Linked DNA regions of Alligator mississippiensis. The protein of the gene in region 1 interacts with the protein of each later gene in a biochemical or structural test. Links are inferred from orthologs where the notes say so. Each region holds a gene or a part of one and is shown on either strand. Other genes may lie near its edges. The genes, in order: protein PML-like, MAPK7, HIPK2 and KLHL20.

The links.
Region 2: the proteins of protein PML-like (region 1) and MAPK7 form a complex in vitro, tested with the Homo sapiens proteins (2 studies listed by BioGRID and IntAct, with this or other methods). The link is inferred for Alligator mississippiensis from reciprocal best matches to the Homo sapiens genes PML and MAPK7.
Region 3: of the proteins of protein PML-like (region 1) and HIPK2, one has a biochemical effect on the other in vitro, tested with the Homo sapiens proteins (2 studies listed by BioGRID). The link is inferred for Alligator mississippiensis from reciprocal best matches to the Homo sapiens genes PML and HIPK2.
Region 4: the proteins of protein PML-like (region 1) and KLHL20 form a complex in vitro, tested with the Homo sapiens proteins (3 studies listed by BioGRID and IntAct, with this or other methods). The link is inferred for Alligator mississippiensis from reciprocal best matches to the Homo sapiens genes PML and KLHL20.

What each region holds. Positions count from the first base shown.
Region 1 is NC_081834.1:42,410,630-42,418,681, reverse strand, and holds the start of protein PML-like, read right to left. Parts: upstream 3,055-8,052; 5' UTR 2,929-3,054; coding exon 2,878-2,928; intron 1,250-2,877; coding exon 777-1,249; intron 1-776.
Region 2 is NC_081830.1:449,159-456,453, forward strand, and holds the start of MAPK7 (mitogen-activated protein kinase 7), read right to left. Parts: upstream 3,073-7,295; 5' UTR 2,708-3,072; exon of another isoform or gene 2,468-2,707; 5' UTR 2,463-2,467; coding exon 2,294-2,462; intron 2,155-2,293; coding exon 1,989-2,154; exon of another isoform or gene 1,987-1,988; coding exon of another isoform or gene 1,919-1,986; intron 1,707-1,918; coding exon 196-1,706; intron 108-195; coding exon 1-107. Other genes in the region: uncharacterized protein LOC106739355, read right to left, coding at 3,615-5,771, 6,154-6,536, 6,922-7,041. UniProt on the Homo sapiens protein: Plays a role in various cellular processes such as proliferation, differentiation and cell survival. The upstream activator of MAPK7 is the MAPK kinase MAP2K5.
Region 3 is NC_081827.1:108,358,279-108,366,291, reverse strand, and holds the start of HIPK2 (homeodomain-interacting protein kinase 2), read right to left. Parts: upstream 3,131-8,013; 5' UTR 2,679-3,130; coding exon 2,660-2,678; intron 1-2,659.
Region 4 is NC_081828.1:47,801,955-47,809,712, reverse strand, and holds the start of KLHL20 (kelch-like protein 20), read right to left. Parts: upstream 3,094-7,758; 5' UTR 3,020-3,093; coding exon 2,979-3,019; intron 1-2,978. UniProt on the Homo sapiens protein: Substrate-specific adapter of a BCR (BTB-CUL3-RBX1) E3 ubiquitin-protein ligase complex involved in interferon response and anterograde Golgi to endosome transport.

The DNA.
Region 1 (8,052 bases):
AGGATAGGTTGCAGCCCACCGGATAGCACAGCTTCTGAATGGGACCTGGGGGTCACAATTTACTGGAAGATGAATATGAGCCAACAGTGTGATGAAGTCGCCAGCAGGGCAAACGCTAGAACTTTAGTGTGCATCAGCCAGTGCATTGCCAGCAGATCCAGAGGGGTGCTTCTCCCTCTCTACTCATCATTGGTTAGACCGAGGCTGGAGTACTGTGCCCTGTTTTGGGCACCGCACTTCAGGAAGGATGCGGATAATCTTGAGAGGGTGCAGAGAAGGGCCACCCTCACGATCAGGGGCCTGGAGGATAGGCCATATGAGGAGAGACTCTGGGAACTAGGCTTGTTCAGTCTGAGTAAAAGGAGGCTCAGAGGTGACTTGATAGCTACCTACAAGTATATCAAGGGGGAGCACCAAGATCTGGGGGAGGAACTCTTTAGAATGAGACCCTTGGGAGGATGAGGACCAATGGACACAAACTAACAGAGGGAGGATTTAGACTGGACATAAGAAAGAACTTCTTCTCTGTCAGGGTAACTAGAACCTGGAACACACTCCTGGCAGAGGTGGTACAGTTGCCATCCTTGGAGGTGTTCAAGAGGAGGCTGGATAAGCACCTCATTGAGCTAGTTTGAGCTCAACCTCCTGCCTACGGCAGGGGACCTGATTTGATGATCTTCCAGGTCCCTTTTGGTCCATTGTTTCTATGATTCTATGTTGCAACTATTCCTGCCATATATGACTGGAGAAAAAGTATCCCAGGTTGGGAATGTTACCTTAGAATCTGAGCCTCGTGCACTTCGCAGAACAAGTTATAGCGCTTCTGGGCACCCTCAAGAAACTCCGCGAGAGATCCGGCCTGAAGATCCTTCACATTCCTGGCCTCATGGCTCTCCTTCTTCAGGACCCTCTGATGGAAATTAAAGCACGTGAGACACATAAACATCTCACAGTCTGAGCACCAGAACTCCCCCTCTGTTTTGCAGTTGCCACACCCTAAGTCTATGCCCATGACTATTTTTTGATAGGTTTTCATCTGGGACTGCAGCCTGGCATACAGTACGTTGTCCTGGTCTGGAATCTCACTAGGTTGCAAGATAGGAGCCTGGCAGATGGGGCACTGGCCCATGGGCTTGTTCTCTTCCAGACAGTCAATGCATAAGGTGTGAAGGCAGGAAAGGAGCTTGGGCTCTCTGGATTGATTCCGGCATCCATCACAGAGCAGAAACTGGAACTCTTCCTCCACCACCTTTAGGGAGAAGAAAGGGACAGAGATACCTGGCATTAATCATACTATGATATTATCCCAATGGGAGATGACCATTGGGCAAGGAGAAAGAGGTGTTGCTAGTGCTGCTAGAAGGTCATTTGATGGATACCAAGCAATAGAAACATCTGGAAAGGCCCAATGTAGCAAGCCAAAGCTAGCTTGACTGGGGAGTCCAGTGGCTGAGGGAAACCCTGGTTGTGAGAGTCTGTAGCTAGTCCTTCCCACCACTGCTTGGGAGGTAGAGGCATGTAAAGAGCATGATGGAGCAGACTACTGGCTGGGCACAAGCATGAGGGTGTAGGACACAGGGCATGTCTACACATGCTGATTTAAAGCATTTTAGCCCAATTTAAGGCAGATTAAAAGTGCACATCTACATGTGCAGGCCCTCAATGCACCTTAAAAATGGCATTTTTAGGCTATTCATGCCTAAGTTTGATATGTGCAAAAGCCGGTATTAAATTTAGGCATGAATAGCTAAAGTGCATTAATGCACATGTAGATGTGTTAAGGCACACTAACACTGCACACAGACTGACTTGGAACTAACTTTACTATGAATAGTGAGGAACTATGAGTAAGCACACACGGAGTTAATGCGCTGTAACACATGCATGCGTAAAAGTGAGACTAAATCACCTTAATGAATGTTAAATTTCGGCATGCCTAAATGCATGTGTAGACATGCCCAGAACCCCTGCCATCTACACTTTCCCTCTCCCTCGCCGCTCGCCACAGGCTCACCACATTGTTTCTCCCCCAAGCTTTCCCAAACAAGCTGCCAGTCCCCAGTCTTCATCCCATCCATAGTGCACAGGCCCCTTTCTTTGTCTCTGCACCATACTGCCTCTTTCCTCACAAGGGGCTCTGAGGGGTGAGTCCGAGCTGAAAGCCCTATCGCACCCAGCCTCAGGCCACCTCCCTAAAGAACTTCCACAGATCCCCCCATTACTACCGCATCCAAGAATGTCTCATGGACACTGATTGATTCATCTTTACAGAGCCCCTATCAGGTAGGGAACCATTTGTCCCATTGTTTGCCAGGGGAACAGAGGCCCAGATATACCGAGTGGCTTGCCCAGAGCCATATCGGCTGTCTGTGGCAGTCACCAGAAGTGGGGCCAAGTTCTCCTGCCTCCTCCCCCTGCCCCGCGAGCTCCCAAAGCAGCCCTCCTCTCAACTACAGAGATTTGAAAAGGGACACAAAAAGGGCCCTGGGGCATCATTGAGGCAATTTCCTAGTCTGCGCTGCTATCTGCATGCTGGAGAGTTCACAGGGCTGTTGCCCAGTCACTACCTCCCTGCCACCTGGTTGTCTCTGCCTTCCCTGCTCCCTTCCATACTGGCTTCCCCCACACACTTCCTACAGCCATCTCTGCTGCCCAGGGGGCAGCCCTGCCACATCCCCTACCCCCAGTGTAATGGCACATGCTCTAGCCACAGCACCACCCACAGAAGGAGATGAGGCAGCCAGGTCCTAGGAGCTGTTCAGCCTCATATACCACTTATTTCCCCTCCGTCATTGTTGTACATTTAATCTACCAGCTTGATCCTTAACCCCAAGCAAGAGCCTCTAGCAGAAGGTCCGGTCACTGCGACAAACTTACAGGGGCTGAGGAATCCTGGTCAGCCGGAGGCTCCTGAGACGTGGCATCCATGATCTGCACTCGCAGTTTCCTCTGGGGCACCCAGATGCTTTCTGAGCTTGGTTGCAGCTCAGTTTTCTTTCCTCAAAAATGAAAGTAGCTTTGCTTCCGGGTATCAGGCAGACAGAGAGAAGAATCTGCGCTCCTGCCCTGCCCTCTGGTGATCAACCCCAGCTTTGATGTGTGATGCATCTGGCAGGGGAGGGGAGGATAGTCTGAAATCTTCCAGCCCTCCTGGGCATAAAGCTTGTCATACATTTTTCCTTCTGCCTCCTGGCCTCTCAAGGCACAAGGGAAGCCTGCACCAGCCCTGGATCTCTGTTTATCTTGAACAGCTCATTCAGAGGCTCAATGTGTTGCTCTGATTCTGCTCCAGATCCTGTTGGCAGAAAGTCTTCCTGGTAGAGAAGCAGAACAAGCTCCCCTTGGGGGCTGGTGACAGAGACAGCTCCAAGTGTGGGCAGACTCTACTACATCCTTGGCCAGTTCCCAATTTCCCCAACTGCAATAACCCCCAAGAGATGTTTTTACTAAGGTGGAACAGCAAAACATTTCAGACGTGTCTCTGACAGGGCATGAGGTGAGGGGTCTTGTGTAGGCGGCATAAACTAATGCCCCTTCGTGCAACAGGAAGGATGCAGTAGGGCAGGGCTGGATGCTAGGGGCCAGCTCCCTCCTCTCCAATCTGCTCTCCCAGGAAAGTGTTTCCATGGTCCTGTTTATTTCTGTGGATCCTGGATCCCCTCCTGCTAGCTCTTCTCTGGCCCCAAACTCACCACATTCTGGGTGACTTAAAAGGCAAACATACCCTGCCATGGTCTTGTAGCTGCCAGGAGCTTGGCTGTGAAGACTTGGAAGGGGCCAGGTGTTCAAGCCCATCAGCTAAGTGACTCTAGAGAATTAGGCAAGCCATTCCCCATTTGCCACAGCAGTGATGCAGGGTTCCCCATGAAACAGTCTGAAGTACTGCAAATGTTACCTCTGCCCCTCCCCAGGACTCTGCTTGACAAAGACCCATACAGTTTGCCCATCTGTCTAATGCCGCTGTTAAATTGTTGCCTTAAGCACCAGTCTGGTACACCCATTGAGGGGAAAATGCCAGCCCCTGCCCACTGTGTGCTCACAGGTATAAGGGACAGCAGGGTACAAGTCACGCATAAATGATATACCTGGTACTTTACACCTCACCTGAGGGCCCAAGAGACAGGGAGGCAATAGAGCTGTGCGCGGATGTATCGGAAGAGGGAGCTCTGCTGCCAGGTCACCATGCTTTTAAGGAACATGTCTACCCATTGCACAGTCAATGAGGCATAATCAGGATAGGCTTTATCTTCCTTTGAAGCATCATGTATAGGCAGAGGACAGACCCAGACTGTCTATCAATCCAGTTGGATAAGTCATTCTGTCACCTACTTACTTGCTTTGAAGGGCAACCAGCACTTATAGCACTTTGGCCTCCTTGATGATGTATCTCCATTCTCGTCTATCATGAGATATAACCTCCCAATCTTGTCCTACATCAAGTACCTTCAGGTTTCTTATGTTGTTGTCTGTCTAACATTGACAAGGCCTACCTCAAGGACCTCTTTTCTGTTGAGGTTTATAGATAATCCATCAATGCTGATCTCGTGAAGGAACACCTTGAGAGGCTGGACACCTTCAAGTTAGCCGGCCCTGACAATCTGCACCTCAGGGTACTCAAGGAGCTGGCTAGCATCATAGCTCAGCCCCTGGCACAGATCTTCAATAACTCCTGGTGCTCTGGTGAAGTACCTGACGATTGGAAGGCCAATGTGGTGCCTATCTTCAAGAAAGGGAGGAAAGTGAATCCAGCAAACTACATCAGCCTGACCTCTATCCCAGAGAAGGTCTTAGAAAAGATTATCAAAGAGGCCATTCTTAATGGACGGGCCGACAGCAACATCCTGAGGGATAGCCAGCATGGGTTTGTTGCAGGTAGGTCATGCTTGACCAATCTCATTTCCTTTTATGACCAGGTGACCTATCACCTGGACAAGGGAGAAGAGATTGATGTTGTATATCTTGACTTTAAAAAAGCCTTCAATCTGGTATCCCACGATCATCTCTTGGCAAAACTGGCCAACTGCGGTCTCGGGTCCACCATGATCCTCTGGCTGAAGAACTGGCTCCGTGGTCGGACCCAGAGGGTGGTGGTTGACAGAAGTCAATAGTCATGGTGCCCTGTGACCAGTGGGGTCCCTCAAGACTGTGTTCTTGGACCCACATTGTTCAACATCTTCATTAATGATGTGGACATTGGAGTCAGAAGTGGACTGGCCAAGTTCTCAGATGATACCAAACTCTGGGGTAAAGCATCCACACCTGAGGACAGGAGGGTGATCCAGGTTGACCTCAACAGGCTCAGGAAATGGGCAGATGTGAACCTGATGGTGTTTAACACCAAAAAATGCAAGGTCCTCCACCTTGGGAAGAAAAACCTGCAGCATGCTTATAGGCTCAGCAGTGCTGCGCTGGCTAGCACTATGGATGAAAGGGACTTGGGGGTCATGACTGACCACAAGATGAACATGAGCCTTCAATGTGATGCTGCGGCTAGTAAAGCAAGCAAAACACTGGCTTGCATCCATAGATGCTTCTCAAGCAAATCCCAGGATGTCATCCTCCCGTTGAACTGGGCCTTGGTGAGGCCGCAGCTGGAGTACTGCGTCCAGTTTTGGGTTCCACAATTCAAAAAGGATGTGGAGAAGTTTGAGAGTGCAGAGAAGAGCCACATGCATGATCAGAGGTCAGGAAAACAGACTGTAACAGGGGGCCTACTCAGGGCCGATCTCTGTGGCCCACCCACCTGTTCTTGGGCCAACCGCCCGCATTCTCACCCCCCACGCCTTGATGGTAATTGATTAATTAGTAGATGTTAGTTGAGCGGGAGGCTGCCCATTTACTGCCCCGATGCCAGGGGGCACTATCTGCAGCTCCTTTCCTCCCCTGCACCGCAGCCCAAGCCTCGCAGATGGCATCTAGATGTTCCTCTAATCACCAGCCCCCCCACTGGGCCCCAGAACCCTACTACTGAACCCACCTGGATTCCCCCCTTCAGGCGGACTCTTCTGCCATCATACCGGGCAGCACAGCTCCCTGAGCTGGTTCCCCTTCGGGTGTGGTCCCCCCCACCGAGACCTTCGGCTCATCTAGCCCTGGCCCACCTCCAGGCCAGTCGGGACTCTAGGCCCTCAGCTCTTGGGCATCCCTCAGGGTGGGCCCCTGGCCCTTTGACCCTTCCGGTCCTGGCCCCAGCATGGGACAGTCAGGGGAAACTCAGACAGGTCCTGAGTCAATGGCCCTTTCCTCTCTCCAAGGGTCCACCCTCTGGGCCCTCCAAAACAAGGGGTAACTCACCTGGTTGTGGGGGCTAGGGGTTAAGGTGCCCCAACCCACCTTTCACCAGGGTGGTAACTGGCCTGGCATTTCCTGGGGGCTCCCGCTCCACTGGGAACCCCACCAGGCCACCCACTCCCAGCAGGGTGCAGTTTTAAATCATACCCAGGACCAGGAGACTCCTAGCCATCCCCTACAGCTCCTCCCTTACCTCCAGTTGTAGCTCTGCAGCCCTCTGGCCAGGCGATGTTGTTGCCTGGCCTCTCACAGCAGAACTGCCTGCTTGTATGGGCAGCCCCTGATTCCAAAAATGGCTGCCCTCACCAGGCACCTGGTGGCTGCCAGCTCCAGGCCCTTGAAGTGACAGGCACACACAGTGCCCTGCCACACAGACCTTACGATGACAGGCTGAGAGCTATGGGACTCTTCAGTCTGGAAAAGCACAGGCTCAGGGGCAATCTGGTGGCCACCTATAAGTTTATAAGCAGTGTCCACCAGGATCTGGGGGGATGTTTGTTCACCAGAGCGCCCCAAGGGATAACAAGATCTAATGGTTATAAACTCCTGCAAGACTGTTTCAGACTGGACATAAGGAAAAACTTCTTTACTGTCTGAGCCCCCAAGGTCTGGAACAGCCTGCCATCAGAGGTTCAAGCACCTACTTTGAACGCCTTCAAGAGAAAATTGGAAGTTTATCTTGCTGGGATCCTATGACCCCAGCTGACTTCCTGCCCCTGGGGAAGGGGGCTGGACTTAATGATCTTCCGAGGTCCCTTCCAGCCTTAATGTCTATGAAATCTATGAAATAATTTTGATTTTTCTTGATTATGCTGTTATGTTCCTTTTTCTTTTAAAAACATCTCATGACCATTCAGCAATAGTGAAAAGGGCCTATAGGCGGGAGACAGATCCCTTAGGTTAGGTACAGCATAATAGTACTATTAAACTAGTGGTTCTCAAACTTTTTAGACTCAAGGCATCCCTTGATACATTTAAGGTGACACCCAGAAAATGTCACCTCTTCACATTCACTCTGCTTTTGATTACAGAAAAATACTAGAGCAGTTCTTCTCTTGTAAAGGATTTGGAAAAACCACAACAGACCAGAATGCTTTTAACACTCTGGATTCCTATTTGAAATCCCTGGGTTTATCTTGTGAGTCATATTTGTGCACCTAATAGTTAGGTGCAAACCAGCTAATATTCGCTTTGGATTCAGCCATTTCAGGAGACAGTAATTCGAATCATCGTCCCAAATCGATTTGACCAAATCACACAGGCCCACTCTCCCAGCCTGGCAACGGCTGCCCCGTCCAGCCCAGCTCTTGGCTTTGGAAAAAAAAAAAAGCCCCAACTCTGGGTGCTGCTGGGCAGGGGGCGATCCCCGCTGCCCACCACTGCCCCATGCTGCATGGGGGGCTCGGCATGAGTCCCCAGAAGCCCCGAGACCACTGCAGGAGCTGGTGAGTCTGGGGTGTTTTTTTCCTTAAAGGGCTGGAGCTAGGTCAGGTGGGGCAGCCATGGGGGGGCTCGGAGAGCAGGTGGAGGTCAGGGGACTCATAGCAGAGCCCACCCATGTAGTGTGGGGCAGTGGGGGGCAGCGGGCACCAGGACCTGGGGTAGGCAGGGCAGCCATTGGGGGGGGGGGGGCTGGGGAAGCAGGCAGGGGATGAGACCTGGCAGGGGTCCCCCCTCGTCCAGCCCCCCCTTCCCTGCCCCCTACTTTCCAGCATGGAGTCTGGGTCCAGCTCCCTGCTGCAGTGGGTGGGGACTGTCTGA
Region 2 (7,295 bases), on another chromosome or scaffold:
CCGCTCCTGCCGCCGCCGCCGCTTTTCCTCCCGCTCACGCTGCCGCTCCTGTGCCGTCACTGCCCGGCGTGGCTCCGCCTCTGGCCCCGCCCCCTGCACCACCGCCTCTGTGAGGGGACAGCACATGGGAGAGAGCGGGTCAGGAGCAGCTCCTGGCCCCACCCCCCAGGCCTCCCGGCACCCAGCCCCACCCACCTCGCCCGCGGTGCCTCTGCGCTGACTTGAGCAGCACGGCCTTGAGCGCCGCCTTGGTGTCGTCCGAGATGGCACCCTCCCGCTTGGGGGGCAGGGCTACTGTCGGCTCCGCCTTCACCTCCCCCGGGGCTTGGGCAAGGGCTGGGCCCGCCCTCGGTGACTCCATGGTGCAGTCTGTCCCGGCCAGCATCTTGGCCTTGGCATCAGGGGCCTGCGGGAGCTCAGCAGCCATGTTGACATGGGCAGCCAGGGTGGCGCTGGCGGCCATTTTGGCATCAGCCATCTTGACATGCGCGGCTATGTTGACATCACCCACCCTATTGGGTTTGGCAGCCATATTGAGGTCAGCCATGTTGATGGCAGCCATGTTGACACTGGCTCCTCTATTAACGTTGGCAGCCATGCTGATGTCACCCATGTTGACGGCGGCCATGTTAACGCTGGTCCCTGTGTTGCTGTTGGTGGCCATATTGATGTCAGCCATATTGACGGTGGCCACATTAACGTTGGCAGCCATGTCAGCACCAGTCCCCCTGTTAGTACTGGTGGCCATATTGACGTCAGCCATGTTGATGGTGGCATTAGCCATACTGGTGCTGGCCATGTTGGCTCTGCCGGCCATATTGGCATCGGCCATGTTGATGTCAGCCATATGGGCACCGCTCGCACTGATGTCATTGCCCGGCGGCGTCGGATACACCACAGGCCTCAGCGCGGGCTTGGCTGTGAGCCTCCGCCGTGCCCGAAAGTCCTCGATCTCGGCCAAAATGGCAGCCTCCACCTCCTCTTTGGTGAGCACCTCGCGGTCGAAAGCAAAGTCGAAGGCTGGCACACACTCGGGCTCATCCTCAGGGTCATGGTACTTGGCAAGGTAGGGGTGGGCCAGCGCGTCCACCACCGTGATGCGCCGAGCTGGGTCCAGTTGCAGCATGCGGGCCAGGAGGTCGAGCGCCGGCGCCTCAGCCTGCGGGTAGAGTGCGTGCAGCGGCACAGCCTGGCGCGGTGGCAGCCCCTGCACATAGCGCCGCACTCGCTCAGCGCCGATGGCACCCACCACCTTGGCCGAGGGCGTCCCCAGGACCCCCAGGATGAGTTGCAGCTGGTGCAGATAGTTCTTGCCAGGGAAGAGCTGGCGCCGGCCCATCATCTCGGCGAAGATGCAGCCGACCGACCAGACGTCAATGGCCTGGGTGTAGTGATGCAGCGAGAGCAGCAGCTCGGGTGCGCGGTACCAGCGCGTGGCCACGTACTCTGTCATGAAGGCGGCGTGCTCCTCAGGTCGTGCCGCCAGGCCCCGCGCCATGCCGAAGTCGCCGATCTTCAGCTCGCAGGTGGCGTTGACCAGCAGGTTGCTGGGCTTGAGGTCGCGATGCAGCACGTGGGCGGAGTGCACGTACTTCAGCCCCCGCAGCAGCTGGTACAGGAAGTAGCGCACGTGCTCGGGTGTCAGCGCCTGCCCCGACTGGATGATCTGGTGCAGGTCGCTCTCCATCAGGTCCAGCACCACATAGCTGCAGGCAGGAAAGGACCCAGGCGTCCGGGTGGGGCAAAGCTCCTTGGGGAGACCTGGCCAGGGCCAGAGGACCCAGGGGTCTGGCTCCCAGCCTCCTCACCCCACCCTAGAGGACCTAGGGGCCTGGATTCCCATAATGCCCCGATGCCACCCCCCACACCCAAGAGCTCAGGCATCCAGGCCCCAACACCCCTGGTCTCAGCCCCGCACCCCAGGGAACCGAGGCGTCCAGGCCTCTGGCCCACAGCGGGCGCGGGTGCCTGGGCGGCGGGGGCCATACACGGCGCGGAAGTCAGGGCGGGGCCCGGGCGGCGTGAGGATGTCCTTGATGGCGATGATGTTGTCGTGGTTGAAGTGCTTCAGGATCTTGAGCTCCCGCAGGGTCCTCTTGGCGCTCGTCACCACCGCGAAGGCGTTCGGGATCTTCTTGATGGCCACCTGCTGCCCTGTGGGGAGGGGGGCGTGGGACCCAGGCGTCTGGGGGTAGCGAGGTGCCCGGGGGGGGGCCCCAGGCATCAGGCGGAGGGGACGCAGGGACCCAGGCGCGGGGTGGGTCCCGGGTGCTCGGCAGAGGGACGGGGGTACCTGTGGCGCGGCGGCGGGCGGAGCTGACCACGCCGTAGGCGCCCGTGCCGATGGTCTCGATGACCTCGTAGTCGTCGCCCACCTCGAAGGTGACGTCGAGCGAGCGCTCCCGCAGCAGCGCCAGCCCCGCCCCCGCCCGGGTGCCCGCGTCGCCCGCCGCCTCCGCCATCGTGCCTGAGGGGAGGGTGGCTCAGTGCGGGCGGGGCTGCGACGGGAGGCAAGTGGGGGGCCCAGGTGTCCAGGAGGGGCGGGGCCAGGGGAGGGGGCGGGGCCAGGATCCCAGGGGAGGGGCAGGCCCAGAAGACCGGGGCGTCCGAGGGCCGGGGTGGGGCTCAGGTGTCCGAGGGTGGGGGGGATGATGTGGGCACCCCAGGCGCCCGCGGGGGCGGGGCTGGTCTCCATGGCGACGCTCACCCGCTCCCCGTCCTGCTGCCGCCGCCGCTACCCGGGGCCCCGCCCCCGCGGGCCCCGCCCCAGCCAATCAGGGTGCGGCCCGCGGTGTAGAACGGGACTTCCGCCAGGGGGCCAATGGCAACACACCCCGGCCCCCGGAGGTCCCGCCTCTTCCGCCAATCAGGCCCCTCCTTTCCGGCGGTGACGGCCAATCGGGGCCAAGGGAGCAGCGCGGCGTGGGTGCGGGGGGATTAAAAGGGCCGAGGCGCAGGGAGGGATCCTAGGCCTCCGGCAGCTGCGACATCGCTGCTACGTCATCAGCAGCCGACACCTGCCTGCCACCCCTGGGGGACCCCCCGCGCCGCCTGCGGTCCTTGCCCCGCCCCCTCCCGCGTCACGCGACCGCGCCGCCCAGCGCCCCGCCCCCGCGCCCCACGACGCCGGCACGGAGCGAGCCACCGCCGCGCTGCCGTCAGCAGGACTTTAATGAGGAGACACGAGCGCACCGCACCGCACCGCCCGCCACCGCCGCGCTGCTGCTGGAGGCTCCCCGGGAGCTCGCACGGAGGTCGAAGGACACAGGTCCTCGGCCCGGTGCCCTCGCCCGCCGCCGCCACTCTGCCCCGCGCCGCCGCCGCGCCCCGTCAGGCTCGCCACGCGCAGAGCGGAGCGGGGCGGCGACCCAGGCGGCTCTCCCCGCCCCGCCCCGCCCCGCCGTCCTGTCCCGGGCGCTGGCGGTGGTGGTGGCAGTGCACAGGGCGGGCGACAGGAGCACGCGGCGCCGTGCGGCGTCTCTACCGGCCCGGCCCCGTCTCCCCTCCGCGTCCTACCCCTACTTGCCCCACGGCCTACTCTGCCCCCCCAGCTACCCTCCCCTGCCCTCCGGCGGGGCACACCCCCGCCCGCCCGCCCGCCCGGCCCGGCGCCCTCACGGCCCGTCCCCCACGTGGTTCCTTAGGTGCCGCAGCAGCACGGAGTCCTCCCGCAGGCGCTTCCGCCCCGCGCCGGCCCCTCGCGGCCCCGGCCCCTGGCCCCCGCCCTGGGCACGGGGCTCTGGAGCCGGGTCCCCTCCGTCGTCCCCGAAGGCGGTGGAGACGGCGAGGCAAGGGTCGTGACCCGGGAAGCTCTCGCGGCGCCGGAGGGCGGCCATCTTGGCGGGGCGGGCAGCCATCTTGGGGGTCTCCCGCCGTGCCCCGGTGCTACCGAGCCGCTGGCGGATGTGGTCGCGCTGGTGCTGAGTCAGCGCCGCGATGTCCCCGAAGGTCCGGGAGCAGTCAGGGCAGGAGAAGAGCTTCTCGCGCATGTGGCCGATGTGGTGGCGCGCCAGGTCCGCCGCGTCGCGGCACAGCTCCCCGCACCCGGGGCACGGCGCAGGGGCCCCCCCGGGCTCCCGGCGTGGGGGCGGGGGCAGGAGGTCTGCAAACGTCCCCTCTAAGAGCTCCTGGGGTCGGCTCCCCCTGTCCTCGACCTCTCCGGGCACCGGGGATCCTACCATCGTGGGCAGCCAGCACGACGCTGGTGCTGTCAGTCGGTCTCCAAAGCTTTCCCCACATCCATCGCAGATGAGGCCACATTGGTCAGGGCTTGATGGGCTTCCAGGTTGGGCCTGCCGGGCTTCCCCAGCTGCCACAAGAGCCCCTGCTTGCCCCCTCTCCAAGGGGCAAGACTTGGGAGCGTCCAGATGTTGTGTCAACGTTGCGTGGTCTCCAAAAGTCTCCCCGCATGCGTTGCAAATGAGACTGGATTGGATCTTCGGAGCTTGGTCGGGCCCCACGGGACTATCCGATTGGGCCTGGCTGGACCCCAATGGGCTCTCTGACTGGGGCCCTGGTGTGGCCTGGCAAGACTCATGAATGTCCAGGTGTTGCGTCAACGTTGAGTGGTCTCCACCGGTCCCTCCGTCGCTGGGCTGGAGGTCGTGGCCTTCCCGTGACCTCCGGGGACCCCTTGATTGGATCTTCTGGACCTCGCTGACCCCACAGGGACCTCCCGGTTGGATCTGGCTGGACTCCACGGCATCACCGGGCAGGATCTCCTGGACTTCCCCCGACTCCTGGACAGCCCCAGGTGGGATCTCCCGGTCCCGATCAGGGCCCGGCCTCTCCCGGCAATCCTGGTGGGTATCCAGGTGCCGTGTCAACGCCACCTGGTCCCCAAAGCTCTGCCCGCACCCGCCACAGATGAGCACGGCTGGCGCCTCGTCGTCCTCTTCCTCCACCGCCTCGCCGTGCTGCCCACGGCGGTGCTGGCGCAGCTCCTCAGGCCGGGCAAAGCGGTCGCCACAGGACCGGCAGACGTGGGGCCGCTCCTCCATGTGGATGCGCTCGTGGGTGATGAGGTTGGAGCTCTGGGAGAAGCGCTTGCCGCACTCGCGGCACCGGTACGGTTTCTCGCCCGTGTGCGTGCGGCGGTGCTGGACCAGGTGGGAGCTGCGCACAAAGCTCTTCCCGCAGTCGGGGCACTGGTAGGGCTTCTCCCCCGTGTGGATGCGCTGGTGCCGGATGAGGGTGGAGCTCATGCCGAAGGCCTTGCCGCAGTCCCCGCAGCGGTATGGCTTCTCCCCGCGGTGGATGCGGAGGTGCAGGGTGAGGTTGGAGGCCAGGCTGAAGCTCTGTCCACATTCGGCACAGGCGTGGGGCCGGGCCTCCGTGTGGCTGCGCTGGTGCCGGGCCAGAGCCGAGCTGAGCCCGAAGGTCTTGCGGCAGGTGGGGCACTGGTAGGGCTCCACCCCCATGTGCAGGCGCTGGTGCTTGACCAGCGTGGCGCTGTGCCCAAAGGACTTGCGGCACGTGGGGCACTCGTACGGCTTCTCGCCCGTGTGCGTGCGCTGGTGCTGGATGAGCTCCGAGCTCTGGATGAAGGTCTTGCCGCAGTCGCCACAGCGGAAGGGCTTCTCGCCGGCGTGGATCTTGCGGTGCTTCACCAGATTAGCGCTCTGCGTAAAGCCCTTGCCGCAGGTCGGGCACTTGAAGGGCCGCTCGCCCGAGTGCGTGGCCTGGTGCTGCAGCAGGTCCGAGCTGCGGTAGAAGCTCTTGGGGCAGGCGGCGCAGCGGTACGGCTTCTCGCCCGTGTGCGACCGCTGGTGCTGGTGGGGGGGGAGATGGGGGGGGTGTTCAGGTCGAGAATCCAGGCTCCCAGCGCCCCTGCTCCTGCCCCCCTGCACCCGAGAACCCAGGGGTCCGGGCTCCCTGCCCCCACCCCCCCACATATGGGCTCCCAGCCCCACTGGTCTCACCCCGCTCCCACCCCACAGAACCCAGGCATCCAGACTCCCAGCCCCACTGCTCCCCCCCAGATAACCTCAGTGCTGGGTCCTACGGATGTGACCCACACTCTCCGGGAAAGGCTGGCGGGTTGGGAGCCTGGCTCACCTGGAAGAGGCGGGGGTCAAAAGCCCGGACACCTGGGTCCCCCACAGGCCATCAGAGTGGAGCCCGCATGCCTGGGACCCCCCGGCCCAGCCCTACCTTGATGAGGTTGGTGCTCTGGCTGAAGGCCTTGCCGCAGTCACGGCACTGGTAGGGCTTCTCACCGGTGTGGGTGCGCAGGTGCTGGGCCAGGTTGGAGCTCCAGCTGAAGGCCTTGGCGCAATGGGCGCAGCGGTACGGCTTCTCGCCCGTGTGCGTGCGCCGGTGCTGGACCAGGTGCGAGCTCTGCGTGAAGCCCTTGCCGCAGTCGGGGCAGGTGTTGGGGCGCTCGCCCGTGTGCACCCGCCGGTGCCGCTGCAGCTTCGACCACTGCCCAAAGGCCTTGCCGCAGTCCCCGCACGCGAAGGGGCGCTCTCCCGGGCCCCGCCGTGACCCGGTGCCCGGGGCCGGGGGGGTGGGGGCGGCCACCGCGGGCCATGGCTCTGCAAGGGAGACAGGCACAGTCAGGGAGAAACGGAGGGAGACAAGGGCAGACAGAGAGGGACATCTAGTAGATGGAGACACATGCAGACAGACAGACAGGCAGCCTCTACACAAGCATTTACTGTGGAGTAAAGTGCTGCAGGTAGATACCGAAGAGCAAACTGCTGCAGGGTAAGCGGGGATAAGCTGGCATCTACACGGGCCTGTGTTAAAGCGTGTTAATGCCATGTCTGGACTGGCATGGGACTCAGGTTAGTCCCACATCAGTCCACACACACTACTGGGTTACTGCACAGTAAGGCGTCTACACGTGCGTTACTGTGCAGTCACAACTCGAGTGTCAATTTGATCCCTGTGTGATGCAGGGCTCACACTGCCGCCCACGTTGGTGTAAGTTGTCCGAGGCCCTGCGCAGTACGGGCGTGCGTGTGTGGTTGCACGCCTGCACTGCACGGTCGTTCTCGGTTACCAAAATTAAAGCGCAGTAAGTGTGGATGGATACACCTGCAGATGTGGAATAGGCGGATGGAGACAGAGGTGCAGAGAGACGGGCGGACGGACGTGTCGCGGGGGGAGACGCATCGAGACAGTGACATCGAATAGACGGACACCCAGAGAGGGACGGACAGACAGATGCAGAGAGACACGCAGGCGGAGACAGACGGACACGCTGCAGACGGGGGACGCCGAACGGATGGACACAGAGCGAGAGAGATGGCCGGGGAGACGGCGGGTGCGCGTGCAGACGGACAGAGGGC
Region 3 (8,013 bases), on another chromosome or scaffold:
TTAATCTAAATTCCACACGCTCCCTTGTACCAACTGTTTCAGATTGAATGTTTCAATCAAATTTGCCCATTTTAAGGACAGGGGTGTATCCCTATGATGCAGAGATTGGATGTGTGACCCTCCCTGCTGTAGTGCTATTGCAGTTTGGTTCCAAACAATCCTCCTTTATCCTGAAGGCACAGTAACTTACAACTCATACTAAAAGCTTATGTGTGTCACCACCAGGTTTGATAAGAATCCTGTATTTTGGCTCCCACAAGGTTGAAGTCTATTCTTCCTGTATAATATTTCACAGTTAGAGAAGGTGCCGTGTGCTTTCCCAGAAAGAGCACTTAATGAAAAATATCGAGAAAGGATGCATCCCAAAGGAAGGAAGGTAAGAATTGTGTTCATACTGCCCTATGGGCCTACTTCATTAGTCCATCCTCATACCAAGGGCATGGAGATCTTCAAAAGGAGGCTGGACACACACCTTGCTGGGGGTTATTTGACCCCAGCAGTCTTTCCTGCCCAGAGCAGGGGGGCTGGACCCAATAATCTCATTAGGTCCCTCCCATCCCTAAACATCTGTGAATCTGTGAGCGAGACTTGAAGTGAAATGCACCAACTCTGGGGACCTGGAGGGAGCCATCATACAGCTGAGGTCAGAAATTAATCTGATCTTGGTTTGCCCCACCTTGCAGTGGACTTAAGAAAATCACTGCATAACCCAACCTGATTAGTCGTCTCTGCCTCGGATAGACTCAAGAACAGGAATAGCCAACTGTGGGATGCAGGTCAGGCCTAAGGTAAACTGGACTAGCTGTGCAGGTGGTCCAAGTCTGGAATAGAAAAGAACTGACCTGGCTCAGGACAGAAATATGCCAGCAGTATTACCATACATGAGGCCCCAAATCTGTGACATGGATGAGGATTCGGGGGCAGTGACACTGCTGGGAAGCATGGAGCCCAGGACTAGAAGAGCAGGGAGCAATGCAATTCTGGTCCAGCTGAGATGCAGGGCAGAGCAACCCCGTGAGATTAGCACTGAAAAAGAAAAGCTGGCTGAACCAGAGACACTTTTTATTTCCTTCTAAAAAGGCAAAACCTGTCCTTACAGTTCCTCATTCAACAGCAAGTTTCTTTTCTAAAACAGACCCAAATGTCCGGCAGAGGGCGCCTCCAGGAGGTATTTAAAGAGAAACATTGTTTCATTTCATTTCAACACTCCCAACAGTTCCAGCACTAACTGTGGCCCCTTTTTTACCAACACAATTTAATAATGAATATCCTTCTTTGCTTTGCAGGCTCTCGTTCCACAGATCCACTGTACGTCTTCTAATCAGTGCAAGTTGCAAAGGGGAAAAAAATAGCAATGGCTACATAAAACCCACATATTCTTCAGAACCAGGGAAGAAAAGATTGGAATAATATTTCTTTCTGTTGCCTCTAAAACAATCCCCTTTGTTTCTTTCTGAGTTCAAACTATTTTTTAGCCACACATTTTAAACCACCCAGACTCATCCTAGCCATCAATAGGCAGATCGGTAACTTTAGATCATCAAGAAAGCTGGTTCATTTAGGACACTTCAACTAATATTAGATATTCTTCTCCGATAAGTTTTATCAGCCTCCCTATCCAGATAAAAGTATTGTTCCCCCCATTCCTCTCTCCTTCCCAGACATTTAAATCCTCCCTTGCTACAAATCAATCACCAGGGCACGACTGAATGAAATAAAATAAAATAAAATAAAGCCGGGTGGATTTTTCTCTAGTTTATGTAATGCTCTTTAATCAATTCCAAACCAGAAAGGGTGACAGAAGGGGAAGGAAATAAATACAACGCTAGGTGATTTAAATGAAGCCAGATTTTTTTTTTCTTTTCCTTTCTTTTCACATGTATCCTAAATATGTTTACGGGTGTATTTTTTTTAAACACTGGGGAAACTAAGTGAGTTGACTTTTCATTTTCACTGCAACCCCCACCCACCTCCACCCTGGGGTTGATTTAACTGGAAACTGAAAGAACTGACAGCCTGGTGCAAGAAATCCCCCCCCTCTTCCCCCCCTTGACATTTATACCTACAGCCACACAGGTTTTTTTTAACCATGAAAAAAAAATCAAGTTGATCAGCAAAACAGCCAGAAAAAAAATCATCATCATAATAATAATAAAAGAAAAGCAAACGCCTCTTGGAGATTATGCAAAAGGAACGGGGTGTTCGGAGCTGGGAATTAAACTACATTTCACACACGCAGCGCAGAGGAGACACACACAGAGCAATCGCAGGGCAATCTTAGTCTCTATTTCATTGTTCTGCTCGGCTCTGAAATGGACTTTTCCACCCCTTCCCTTCCCCACCAAGGACCAAGATGGGCAAAAGAAAGAAAGAAAGAAGCAGGGACAGAGACACCCCATGAAAGAGGGGTCAGGAGATATATAGATTTTTTTTTTTCATCATATGGGGAGGGGAAAGGGGAGCAAATCTCACCCATCGGCAGGGCTCTTTGGGGCTTAAAAAAAGCAGGGCCAGACAGACAGCTCCTGCTCTGGGATCTGTGGTCATTTGGGGGTGGCTGGGTTTTGTGTTTTTTTTTTCTGGTGAGAGGTGGCTGGAAAGAGATGTCCAAAGGACAGGGCTGGGGGTGGGGGGAGGCGGAGGGCACGCGAGCCCTTACCTTCGTACATGGGGGCCATCGGTGCGAGGATGTCTGTAATGCATGGCAACCACACCGGCGATGAAGCGAGATCGCAGCCCCCCAAACTCAGTACCCATCTGCCATCTTGAGCCTGTGTCTCTCCGTAGAGCCGAAGCTGCCAGCCTCCTGCATCACTGCCTCACTTCAGCGCGGGGGCCGGCAGAAACATCCAGCCTTGCTCCTGTCCATCTAACAAAAACGCCGCCGCCGCCGCCGCAAAGGAAGGGGCTGGGAGGGGAGGGGAGGGGGGCGGCGATGCACAGTGGACAGGTCAAGGGTTGGGGGGGGAGGTGGCTAGAGGGCCCCCAGGTTTGGGCCCGTGGGGGTGGGGCAGGGGGGACTGCGCCGATCCCCCCTCAGCTCTCAGCTCAACATGTCTGCGCGCCTTGGGGGTGTCTGCAAAAGTTGCACGGGAGGCAGGAGAGCGAGCGAGACGGAGGCAGCGAGAGAGGAGGAAAAGAAAAAAAATAAAAAAAAAAAAAAAAGCCAAGGGAGTTTGCAAATAATCAAGCACCGATGGCACGGATCGCAGTTTCCCAGAAGGACAGGGAGGGGTGGGGGGAAGCGAGAGAGGGGGAGAGAGAAACCCTCTGCTGAGATTATGTGGGATCGTGTTTAACAACACATTTCAATCAGGAGAAAAAAGGAACAGTCAACAGAAGTTGGTGAAGCGGCTCTGTCTCTGCCTCTCTACAGAACAGAAAGAAGAAAAAAAGGAAAAAAAAAAACAACACCCACCCAGCTGATTGAAGCTTTGCCATTCACTGGCTGTGGGGATCATAAGCATTTGAGCTGATGTTTTACAATCGCATGGAAAATTCCTACCCCCCCCCCCAATACATCTCCGAGTCCCTCCAGGCATTTCACAATCTGTTTTGCTGACAAAAGTTCCAGTCCCCCCCCCCCCTTTTCTTTCCATTTAGGTTGCTCGCAGTGTAAATATTTAGAGGATACATTTAAAATAAACATACATGGCTGCTTCCAGGATTTTTCCTGTTTTTCTTTTTCTTTTTTTGAAAGAACTACATCAAATGAGTGTTTACTTATTGGGATTGACAGGCGGTGACCCTCCCCCTGTTTTCGTTTTAACAGCTCCATCTCTTTCACCCAGCTATTGCTGTGGAAATGCCAATCCTATCATAATAATTTGTCTTCAGCACCTTGACATGTGCCTTTTATTTTCCACAGCAGCTTTCATCCAATGATCTCTCAAAGGGAGAGGAAATAACTATATACCCATTCTACCGATGGGGAAACTGAGAGATGGACAGGCTATGTCATAGCAAAGGGAGGGGGGAAAAAATCCACATGCTAATAAGCATTTACCCATTCTGCCGATGGGGAAACTGAGAGATGGGCAGGCTAGGTGATAGCAAAGGAAGAAAAAAAAATCCACATGCTAGGGCCCCGGTCCTGCACTCCATGTGGGTCTGTTGGCTCAGAGCTCATGGCAAAGCCTAGGACTGGACTTTCCAAAGAGCTTAGTACCTGACAGCTCCTATTTAGACAGCCAGCATTAAAGGCTGGGCAACTGTATTTACATGCCTACATGAAAGCTGAGCTCCTTTGACAATCTACTCTCTGGACTCTGTTTCTGGAGTCTCTATTTCCAGACCAAGGCTCTGGACATCACAGCTCCCAATTTTGTAAATCATACGCCCTGTTATTTTAATTTTGTAATTCTCTGCTTATATTATAATCAAAGGTCCCTTCTTTGGCTAAACTACTAGTAATCATAATCTAAGTCCACCTCTGCTGCCGTCTCCCTGTTGTCTGCCTAGAACATCTATATGGGGAGGTGGGGGGTAGTTTTCAGGGTGGTTGAAACAACAAGGAATGATTAGAAGATGGCAGAAGAGAAAGGGTGAGGAAAGGTGAGGGAAATGGCTTTTTTTCCTGGCTCTGCATCTCATTGCTGGGTGACTTCAGGTAAACTGGGTGAACAAATGCCTCAGTTTTCTCATCTGTAAAATGGGAGGAGGCATGGGAGTGGTGAGAAAGTGGGAAGGACTCTTTCTTTGTCTGTTTCATGAAGAACATTTTTGCAGCCCTGCATTTCGGTGTGATTTTTATTTTGACTGAAGGCAACATGACACATTAAGTTAAAAAAAAGGGGATTTTTAAAAATATTTCTTCTTTTGCCAGGGGATTTTCAAGACTCTGAAGTGAATTTCATTTTGACTTAGGAGTGGAAATGGCACCTTCAGAACTCTCCCTCAGAGAGCCACTAGCTAGATGTGAAGCAGAGTCAGGAGACAATCAGCTCCAGAGACACGTATATCATATACATGCACGCAGACTTTATAATGTCTCACTTTAAGGCATAAACCAGTCTCTAACTGTTAGAGATTACAATGAGACCTTCCTGGAGGGCAAGTGATCCCATATCTGTTGGAGAGAGGATCCTGGGCTCGATGGACTGCGGGTCTGACTCTGAATGGCAATTCCTACGTTCCTTTAGGATTTATTAACACTACCAGAATCACCAGACCTGATAGTCAGCTGGTGTAAACAGACACAGCTTTAGTAAAATCAATGGCACTATACACATGTACACCAGCTGCGGATAAACCCCCAGCATGTTTATGCATCATTGCAAAATGAGGTCATGGCTCAGGCATGTTTGTCCCAGTATGGGCAGAAAATAAATAACGTGTTCTGTCCACAGCTCAGGTCACCTCCTGGAGATGGCACACAAAGAAGGTTAATAGCATGTTGATGAGCAGGAGGAGGTAAATGCTACCCACTTATAATATAGACCGCCCCCCCCCCCCCCATGCAGAAGCCCCTTTATGGCTTCTTCATCTGCAAAGGATTCAGTGGATTTCAGGGAATAGGAGGGGTTAGCATAAGAGAAATGAGACCCTCAGCTCCCCTTAGGAGATAACACGACTCTCTTCCACACTGCGCAGCCATGCTGGGACCCATCCAATGATAGTATGGCTTCAGTGACCTCATCTATTATGGCTGTAGGCTCAGCATGAAAGAGGTTTCCACTCCCTTGATACCCCAGAGATCCACAAACTTGGAAGGGGACATGGATCCCCAGATCTGCAGCCCCAGAGCCCCTCCTACATGTCATGATGCATTTCTCTCCACTGTTGTCCCTTCCTACAGGTCTTCCACAGGAGAGGATGGCCCAGCATTTGTCAGAATGGCACATTTGAATGTGCTGTGTTATGCATTTTCATTCCTTTATTTCTCTGAGTTTACCCTAAATCCCCCTGTACTCTGGATGCTTTTTTATAAATGTAAAATATGCAGCATGCTAATAAAATCCACAGTATCTTCCTAGAACCTCAGGGACTGCCCAGACAATAGCATCATCAGCTTTGTCCACCATGAATCATAGGCAATAGAAGGAATTACTTAGGCTGGGAGAGGACAGATGGTCTTACAGTACTGGACTGTGACTCAGGAGATCCGGTTCAATTTCTAGCTGTACTGTACCAATCCCTGAGTGACCATAGGCAAGATACTCACCTCCCCATATGTAAATGGGGGTCATAGTATTTTCCTGATGTGTTTATTCCAACTGTAGGCTCAGTGCAACAAGAGCTGTTGCTTTATCTGCATGTATACAGTTCTTTCCACTGTGAGATGCTGATCACAACTGGGGCCTCTCAGTGCTACTAGAATGCAAATAATTATAGGTAATGAACTAAATATGCCAGAGATGCCAAAAAATGTTGTAACACATTTTTTGGGCAGCCATAAGTATTTCAAAACATGCTTATAGGTTTTCACTCATACACACTTGCATGTGAGCAGAACATGCTTATAGTGCAAATGAAGCAGTAGACTAGGAGGAGCAGCAGGATGCAGCCATTTGTGTTGCAGATGAGAAAGAGTGTGCCCAGCTGAGATCTGGATTTATTTCATTGGGGGGCCTCTGGTAGGGATGCTTAATAGGCCCCTTGTAAGGTTACAGTAGTCGACTGTAAGCCTACAGAAATATGACCTCAGGTATCTGACCCCTTGTGAGAAGCACCCCAAAGGTGTGTGACAGGTCACATGCTTCACTGCTAGAAGAGATGAGAATTATGAATGCCCACTTGAGACCAGGGGACAGCAGAAGGACAGTAACAGTGGAAGCTCAAAGCTGGATGAGATCTGGGACTGCCCCAGGTACAACAGCCACTTTGTTCTCATGAGTGTCTCTTTGGCTACTGTGGGGGAAAGAGGAGGCCACAGCCATATGGGAGAAGTTTGTCAGAGCCGGAGAGGACATGGCAGACCAGAAGAATGATTGTGTTCTCCAGGAGCTAGGCAACAGAGAAGAAGGATATGGGACCCATTAGCCAGAAGAGTTAACCTTTGACTTTTTGGAGCTCAGTTGCCAAAGTGCTAGTTTTATTTCTACAGGTGTGCATAGGTGATTTATCTTGGACAGTAGTTATCTTCAGATATGGATTATTAAAGGGTCTTTGAGCAGTGGATGAGGAAAGTGAAGGTCCCCCTCAAAGAACTGGCTAAAGGTGGTAGTGTATTCTATGGTTTCTTGTACGCATTAATGATGCTGTGATGTAGGCTGCTCTTCCTTTGCAATTTCATTTTAACACTGCCCTGGCATAGATATATGAAGGGAAAATGGAAAAAAAGTGTGGCATACTGAAGTACAGGCTTTCTCCTCTTTCTCCCAAAGAGACCTCAAGGAGGTTGGATGAATTCATTAGCAGGTTCTGAATTTCTCAGCTCACCCCCAGAGCAAAGGCCAGACAGGTAATTTTCTTACTTGGAAAGTTGCAGCTTCAAAAATGCAGTAATAGGAAACAGTAAAACATGTAAAAACATTAATATAGCAGCTTCTATAAATACAGTGGGTCTATGTCACATTTCCATCCAGGACCTTTTTACATACTTTTTTGGCTGTTAAAAGGAATTTAAAAGTAGCGTGCTGGGACCTTAGTATAACTGAGAATCAGGCCCCAAATCTGTTCAAGAAAGGGAAAACATTTTGTAAATGCTGAAGGTTTGCCTATGATATACACACAGCTGTTTTCTTTTTAAATGTAAATCATTGAAGGATTAGACAGTTTATATATATATATATATATATATATATATATATATATATATATATATATATAGGTAAGCATTAAAGGACTCTATTTCATTTGCAATGTGCAGTCAAGTATTTTTTTAAGTGAGTCAACTGCCATTTTTAATTTCTTTCCTCCTAATGCAGTCAGCTCACAGAATAGCAACTACTGCATGAAATGTATTGAGAGTGATTTTTCCATGTATAGAAGGATGTCTGCTCTTCATGCACTTGTGAGTGCCAAGGTACCCAGCTGTTTGTATCAATACCCTGTGCTCTCTGCTGAGCATTA
Region 4 (7,758 bases), on another chromosome or scaffold:
TTGTCTTCTACCTGTGGGTGGCAGTTGCATCTAGTACAATAGGCTGGGGATACAGCTGCAGGCTCATCCTGTGTCAAGGGTGTCTTCCATTGGCTAAACATTGTAGTGTTGCAATTCATGCAAGGGTCCCATTTTATCTAGTACTTTTGATTTCAGTTCTGAGTGTCACATAATTATGCTTTGTAACGCATTCAGACCTGTACCTTGAAACAGGCTATTTGGAGGCAGTGAGGGGCTCCTCATTGTCTAAAAGTTTTCCTGTGTCAGCAAAATGCTGAATGATTCCAGCAATGCCCATGTCGTATTGCAACATGCATTTATTAGTTTAAACTGAAACAGTGGCACTCACAAGCTTTTTGTTATGGTTGATGGGGTTCACATAAAACTCAATAAACCTCTGCAGAAGGGTACTGAGTTAATACCCCTTCCAATTCCCATTTGGAAGGGTTAGTAATGCAGTTGGTAATGCACCTTTTTCTATTTTAACATTACATGATTACCATTCTGCACATAACAGTCTCCCTCTGCCACCAGCTGATTTGATCCAACAAGTGTAGCCAGTACGTCAAGCTGAGTGATTTGCATAAATTTTCATTAGTCCCAATGGCTCTTTGACAGCTTTTGAAAGTCATTCACAACCATGCAAATATAGACAGGATGCCTCCAAATAGCCTGTTTCAAGGTACAGGTCTGAATGCGTTACAAAGCCTAATTATGTGACACTCAAAACTTAAATCAAAAGTACTAGATAAAATGGGACCCTTGCATGAATTGCAACACTACAATGTTTAGCCAATGGAAAACACCCTTGACACAGGAATGAGCCTGCCGCTGTATCCCCAGTCTATTGTACTAGATGCAACTGCCACCCACAGGTAGAAGACAACTCTCTCAGCATGTAATTGGAATCTATGGTCAAATGTCAAACTCAATGCACATCAAGGACATGATTAGAGTTATACATATGGCTAAATAGTTCACAGAACAGTTCATTCAGTATAATCAAAACACGCACGTAACTGGTCAAAAGTACCTTTTAAGCAAGGCAGCGAGCCAGTAAAAATGGGCAATTACAGTAACATTTAGCTTCTGTGCTTTTCCTTAAGAGCATATTCAAATGACACATGGTCTTGTGCTCTAAAAATAAATCAATGTCATTAACTCTTAAACACAACCAGCCTCCTTACTAGCTAGAGTATAAAAAGAAACATTTTACAGAGGGGCTACTGATGAAATCAACTCAATATGACGGACTACTGTGCTCTGGGTGGTGTGCTGAAGGAGTTCGGTGCCCAGGTGGTTTTCTCTTCCATCCTACCAGTGACCGGACGAGGAAGACGGCAGGAGAACTGCATCAGAGAGACCAACTGGCGGCTTCGGCAGTGGTGTCTCGAGGCAGGCTTCGGCTTCCTGGACAATGACCCGCACATCACGACGAGGGACATGCTCAGCTGGGATGGGCTTCATCTGTCCCCCAAAGGTAAGCGTGTGTTTTCTACTAGGTTGGCGGGTCTCCTCCGGCGGGCTTTAAACTAGGCTCGTCAGGGGGAGGGGAGTACGAGGGCAGGGGAAGCTGTGGACCACCAAACCATGTGGCACCCACAAGGACAGCCCAGCCTGAAGAAGGAGAACATTGGGAACCTGAAAGCCATGGGGAGGCCAGCACTACAGAACAGGTAAGAAACAAGAAGGTAAGAAACAATGGGCCCCTTGGGACTCGGAGCGGGGGGGCAGCAAAGGCACCAGTCGCAGGGCTCAAGTGCCTATATACTAATGCTAGGAGCATGGGGAACAAGCAGGATGAATTAGCGCTCCTGCTTGCACTAAACACCTATGACTTAGTGGGGCTAACAGAGACCTGGTGGGATTCATCCCATGACTGGGCGGTACATATTGAGGGCTACAGATTGTATAGAAAGGACAGGTCGGGGAAGAAAGGGGGGGGGGGGGGGGTTGCACTTTGTCAGTGAGCAATATACATCAACCCTCATCAAGACAGAATCCGAGGTTGAGGAAGTAGAAGGATTGTGGGTTAGGCTACATGGGGGGCAAGGAGAAAGGGATTTGGTGGTAGGGGTCTGCTACAGACCCCCACACCAAGGGGAAGAAATAGATGCGGGGCTCCTGAGGCAACTCTCGGAGACCATAAAAGCTAAAGAGGCGGTAGTCATGGGGGACCTAAACTACCCGGACATCTGCTGGGAGACGCAGACAGCAAGGTCCCATCGCTCACGCAGGTTTCTAACCTGTGTACAGGACCTCCACCTGACACAGGAGGTGCATGGTCCCACTAGGGGGAATGCCATACTGGATCTGATATTGGCAGCGGGAGATGACATGATAGGGGACCTCCAGATCGGTAGCCATTTGGGAGACAGTGATCACCTTATAATAGAATTCAACATAAGACGGCGAGTGGGTAAGGTAACTAGTAGGGTGAAAGTGCTAGACTTTAGGAAAGCTGATCTCAATGCACTCAGGCGATTAGTCAAGGAAGCACTGCAGAGTAGGAGTTTTGATGGGATGGGAGCCCAAGAAGGGTGGCTGTGCCTAAAGGAAACGATCCTTCGGGCACAAAGCAAGACGATCCCCGAGTGAGGCAAAAGAGGGAAAGGGGCCAGGAGGCTTCCATGGCTGACCAGAGAAATCCAGGGCAGCCTAAGGGCCAAAAGGGGAGCACATAAAAAGTGGAAACAGGGTGAGATCACTAAAGATGAATATACCTCCTCTGCTCGTGCTTGTAGGGAGGCAGTTAGGCGGGCCAAAGCTACCATGGAGCTGAGGATGGCAACCCAAGTAAAAGACAACAAGAAATTGTTTTTTAGATATATTGGGAGTAAAAGGAAGGCCCAGGGAGGAATAGGACCCCTGCTAAATGGGCAGAAACAATTGGTGACAGATAGGGGGGACAAAGCTGAACTCCTCAACGAGTTCTTTGCCTCAGTGTTCCTAAGTGAGGGGCACGACAAGTCTCTCACTGGGGTTGTAGAGAGGCAGCAGCAAGGCGCCGGACTTCCATACGTAGATCCTGAGGTGGTGCAGAGTCATTTGGAAGAACTGGATGCCTTTAAATCGGCAGGCCCAGATGCGCTCCATCCGAGGGTGCTGAAGGCACTGGCCGACATCATTGCAGAGCCACTGGTGGGAATATTCGAACGCTCGTGGCGCACGGGCCAAGTCCCAGAAGACTGGAAAAGGGCTAACGTGGTCCCCATTTTCAAGAAGGGGAGGAAGGAGGACCCGGGCAACTATAGGCCAGTCAGTCTCACCTCCATCCTTGGTAAAGTCTTTGAAAAAATTATCAAGGCTCACATTTGTGAGAGCCCGGCAGGGCAAATTATGCTGAGGGGAAACCAGCATGGGTTTGTGGCGGGCAGATCGTGCTTGACCAACCTAGTCTCTTTCTATGACCAGGTTACGAAACGCCTGGACACAGGAGGAGGGGTGGATGTCGTATACTTAGACTTCAGGAAGGCCTTCGATACGGTATCCCACCCCATACTGGTGAACAAGCTAAGAGGCTGTGATGTGGATGACTGCACAGTCCGGTGGGTGGCGAATTGGCTAGAGGGTCGCACCCAAACAGTCGTGGTAGATGGGTCGGTCTCAACCTGGAAGGGTGTGGGCAGTGGGGTCCCGCAGGGTTCGGTCCTTGGACCGATACTCTTTAATGTCTTCATCAGCGACTTGGACGAGGGAGTCAAATGTACTCTGTCCAAGTTTGCAGATGACACAAAGCTATGGGGAGAAGTGGACACGCCAGAGGGCAGGGAACAGCTGCAGGCAGACCTGGATAGGTTGCACAAGTGGGCAGAAAACAACAGGATGCAGTTCAACAAGGAGAAATGCAAAGTGCTGCACCTAGGGAGGAAAAATGTCCAGCACACCTACAGCCTAGGGAATGACCTGCTGGGTGGCACAGAGGTGGAAAGGGATCTTGGAGTCCTAGTGGACTCCAAGATGAACATGAGTCAGCAGTGTGACAAAGCCATCAGAAAAGCCAATGGCACTTTATCGTGCATCAGCAGATGCATGACGAATAGGTCCAGGGCGGTGATACTTCCCCTCTATAGGGCGCTGGTAAGACCACAGTTGGAGTACTGCGTGCAATTCTGGGCGCCACACTTCAGGAAGGATGCGGATAACCTGGAGAGGGTACAGAGAAGGGCAACTCGTATGGTCAAGGGCCTGCAGACCAAGCCCTACGAGAAGAGACTAGAGAAACTGGACCTTTTCAGCCTCCGCAAGAGAAGGTTGAGAGGCGACCTTGTGGCTGCCTATAAGTTCATCATGGGGGCACAGAAGGGAATTGGTGAGTATTTATTCACCAAGGCGCCCCCGGGGGTTACAAGAAACAATGGCCACAAGCTAGCAGAGAGCACATTTAGACTGGACATTAGGAAGAACTTCTTCACAGTTCGAGTGGCCAAGGTCTGGAATGGGCTCCCAAGGGAGGTGGTGCTCTCCCCTACCCTGGGGGTCTTCAAGAGGAGGTTAGACGAGTATCTAGCTGGGGTCATCTAGACCCAGCACTCTTTCCTGCTTATGCAGGGGGTCGGACTTGATGATCTATTGAGGTCCCTTCCGACCCTAACATCTATGAATCTATGAATCACCTGGCATATTCATAAAAGAATTATAGTTTTTTGTTCTGACCTTACCTGCGCATTGGCTTTCCGTCCATGCACCGTGAAGAGAAGCCTTCACCCGACAATTCAATTCCTGACCTAAGGAAACAGAAGTACAACATTCAAAAGTGAAAGTAAGTCCTACTTTCTCTATTTATAATGACTCTTCAAGAACAATGTAACTGACCACACCCAAATAATAAGATGATGGAGTCTTTCTCCAGCTAGGAAATTTACAGCGAGATAAACAATGTCTTGGTTGCAGAGAATAAGCCACAAGAAAACGTAAGCATCTTGCCAGCTATCAATTACAATATAGTTAGCATAGTGGCGATGATGTAGGCACGCACACACAAATTCAGTAACCTGCACATCTCCCTGGACATTTGAAAATACTTTCTTTTTTTTTTTTAAACCAAGGGAGGAAAGATTCTTTAGAAGAGTGGCATTTTCTCTCTCACTCCTCAGGATGTGCTACACTATATTTATTCTTCATACATATGAAATTACCAGAAATTTACACAAGTTTAGCAACTATTAAGCACCACAGCGCTCACCTAAAACTGCACTGGAGGGTCAGTATTTGTTCAAGATCAAAGTTTGCATCTAGGACCTAAAGACAGCTTTGCACCCTGCCCCCTTCCCTCCCCCCCAACTAAAAGCCATAATATAGTGATTGCCTCATAGACTTATATGAATTAAAGCTGCTTGATGCTGTTTCTTACTAATTCCACATAAGTGTACTTTTACTTGTTAACAGAAGTAATAGCTGCATATTCCTTGGACATCCAAGCACTGATTTCTAATTCTAGTGTGGAGTATATTTCTTTTTTCAGGGATTTAAAACTTGATTTTTTAAATAACTAAATAAAATGAAACACTGCTTTCTAACAGAACGTCCTTTAAATGCTGCATCCAACTAATTACATTCCTTTATTTTGCTATGTAAAAGTTTTATTTTCTATTCCCCTGTTGATATATCTCCCTGACATTCACAATAGATCTTTACAACAAGACAGAAACTGACAGATGGTAAAAACAGTGAAACTGGCATTATAAAAGCACTGCCAAATGAACAAAGGAAAAATAACAAAAACCCTGTTCAAAAACACTCCATTTTTTCAGTCCTAAGTGTTACTTGGAATTTCAGGAGGTATGATAAACTCCTTAGAGAAGTGAGGTTTTCATGCTTCTTTTCCAATAAAAACCATCAAGCCAATATCAAAACTAAGTTTTATCAAGACATCAGATATTCCCTTCTGTACTGCAGTGTTTCATTGCATCTCTCATCAACATCTGAACTCAAGATGTGACAGCAACCACACCAACATTTCGTAATTCTCTCACGTGTTCTTCCCAAGAAACACAAAGGACTCCACAAACAATTAGAGATACATGGCATTACTACAAGACAGGAAAAAGTAGAATTATACCTATCTATGAGACTGGGCAAGTTCTGGGTTTGAAACAAAACTTCTAAATTATAGTCTGGTGGTTAAGACAGAACCGGGACTCAAAAGATCTGGGCTCAATTCTTAGTTATGGTTCATCCTTCCAAGAGCCTTGGGCATAAGCCCTTTGCCTCTGCTCTTTCAGGGGGTAAAACTACCTCCCTTGCCCCTGCTAATGTTCAAGGCTTATTTTTTGTTACTTTTGGTTCAATATAAAATAGATTGCAAATGTGGATAAAACCTGCATGTGGGTAGACTGAAAAATGCATAGTGGGGTATTCCACTGACACATTATATGAATATATAGGCACAGCTGAATATTTTGCCTAGAAAAGCCACCTTGTTTCCAAGAAGACTTTCATTTTGCTACCTTCAGCATTGCAAGCTTATCAAGCTAGCTGGCAGTAGGCACCAACTTGCTAATAAATGCAACCAGTAAGAGATTTGGAACCTGTTCCCAAGATGTGTTCGGAGCTCGGCTCCCACTGACTTCAGCAGGAGGGGCAACGTTTGGTCCCTCCTAGGATTAAGTGTCATGGGAAGCACTGAAGGGCTTCCCAGAGTTACAAGGCTGGTAGCATCACGTCATGTCCTAACCGTGTACATTTAGATAAACGAGCATCTCCCCATTGACCCTCCAGCAAGACCCTGAATAGAAGCTGTTGGCTGCACCTTGCAGGCACTTTGCACAGGAAAAAGATGGGAGGCGAGGCCGCCACATTAGCTCATCAGCAACTGGAGCAGATGAATCCCCTTAAAAATACTGATTGAAAAAAAGAAAACAAGAATCCAGAGAGGGAACCTCTTGGCACGTGCTGCTCCTGCACCCCAGACTTGGGTCTTCAGCCCAATGAGACCATCAGGTCTCAGGTAGCCCCGTCTGCTGCCCAGCTCCCCTGGCTGTGACCCTGGCTCTGGGCGATGCACACATGCACAGGGATAGGCATGCACACACACAAGGGCACATGTAGGTGTACAGGCACACACACACATGGATACACACACACGCACAGGGATAGGCATGCACACACAAGGGCATATGTAGGTATGCAGGCACACACAGGGATAGGCATACACACACCCAAAAGCACACACAAACACACTAGTGTACACACACACACACAGAGGGATAGGCATGCACACATGAGCGCACATGTAGGTATACAGGCGCACACACGCAGCCGGGCCCGCCGGAGCCCCGGCCCGAGGGCAGCGCAGAGGCAGGGGGGCCCCGGCCGAGACGCAAGGCCGCAGCAGCCGCCGCCCGCCCCGCTGCCCCGGAGCGCTGCTCCATGCCCGGCCCGGCCGCGGCCGCCGAGCCGGGGGCTGGCAGTGGCGGGCGGCACTCACAGGTTGGCTCGGTGCCTCCTGCGGCTCCTGCTGCTGCTGCGGGTCCCGGAACCAGCGACCGCCGCCGCCTGTCTCCTCAACGGCAGGAAGCGTCCGCCCGCCCGGCCTTCCCCGTGGAACCGCGGCCGCCGGCCTCGCCGTTCCGCCTGCAAACCGCCCCCGCCCCGCCCCGCCCCGGGCCCTTCCCGGCGCTCAGACGCCCCGCGGGGCTCCGGACACCCCGAGGCGGGGCAGGCGGAGGGCAGGAGCTGCCCTGGGTGATGCCTGGCAGAGGGGTCGCCCCAGGGGTCGCTCACTCGCCGCCCGAAGCCTCTCGCAGCCGCACGTCC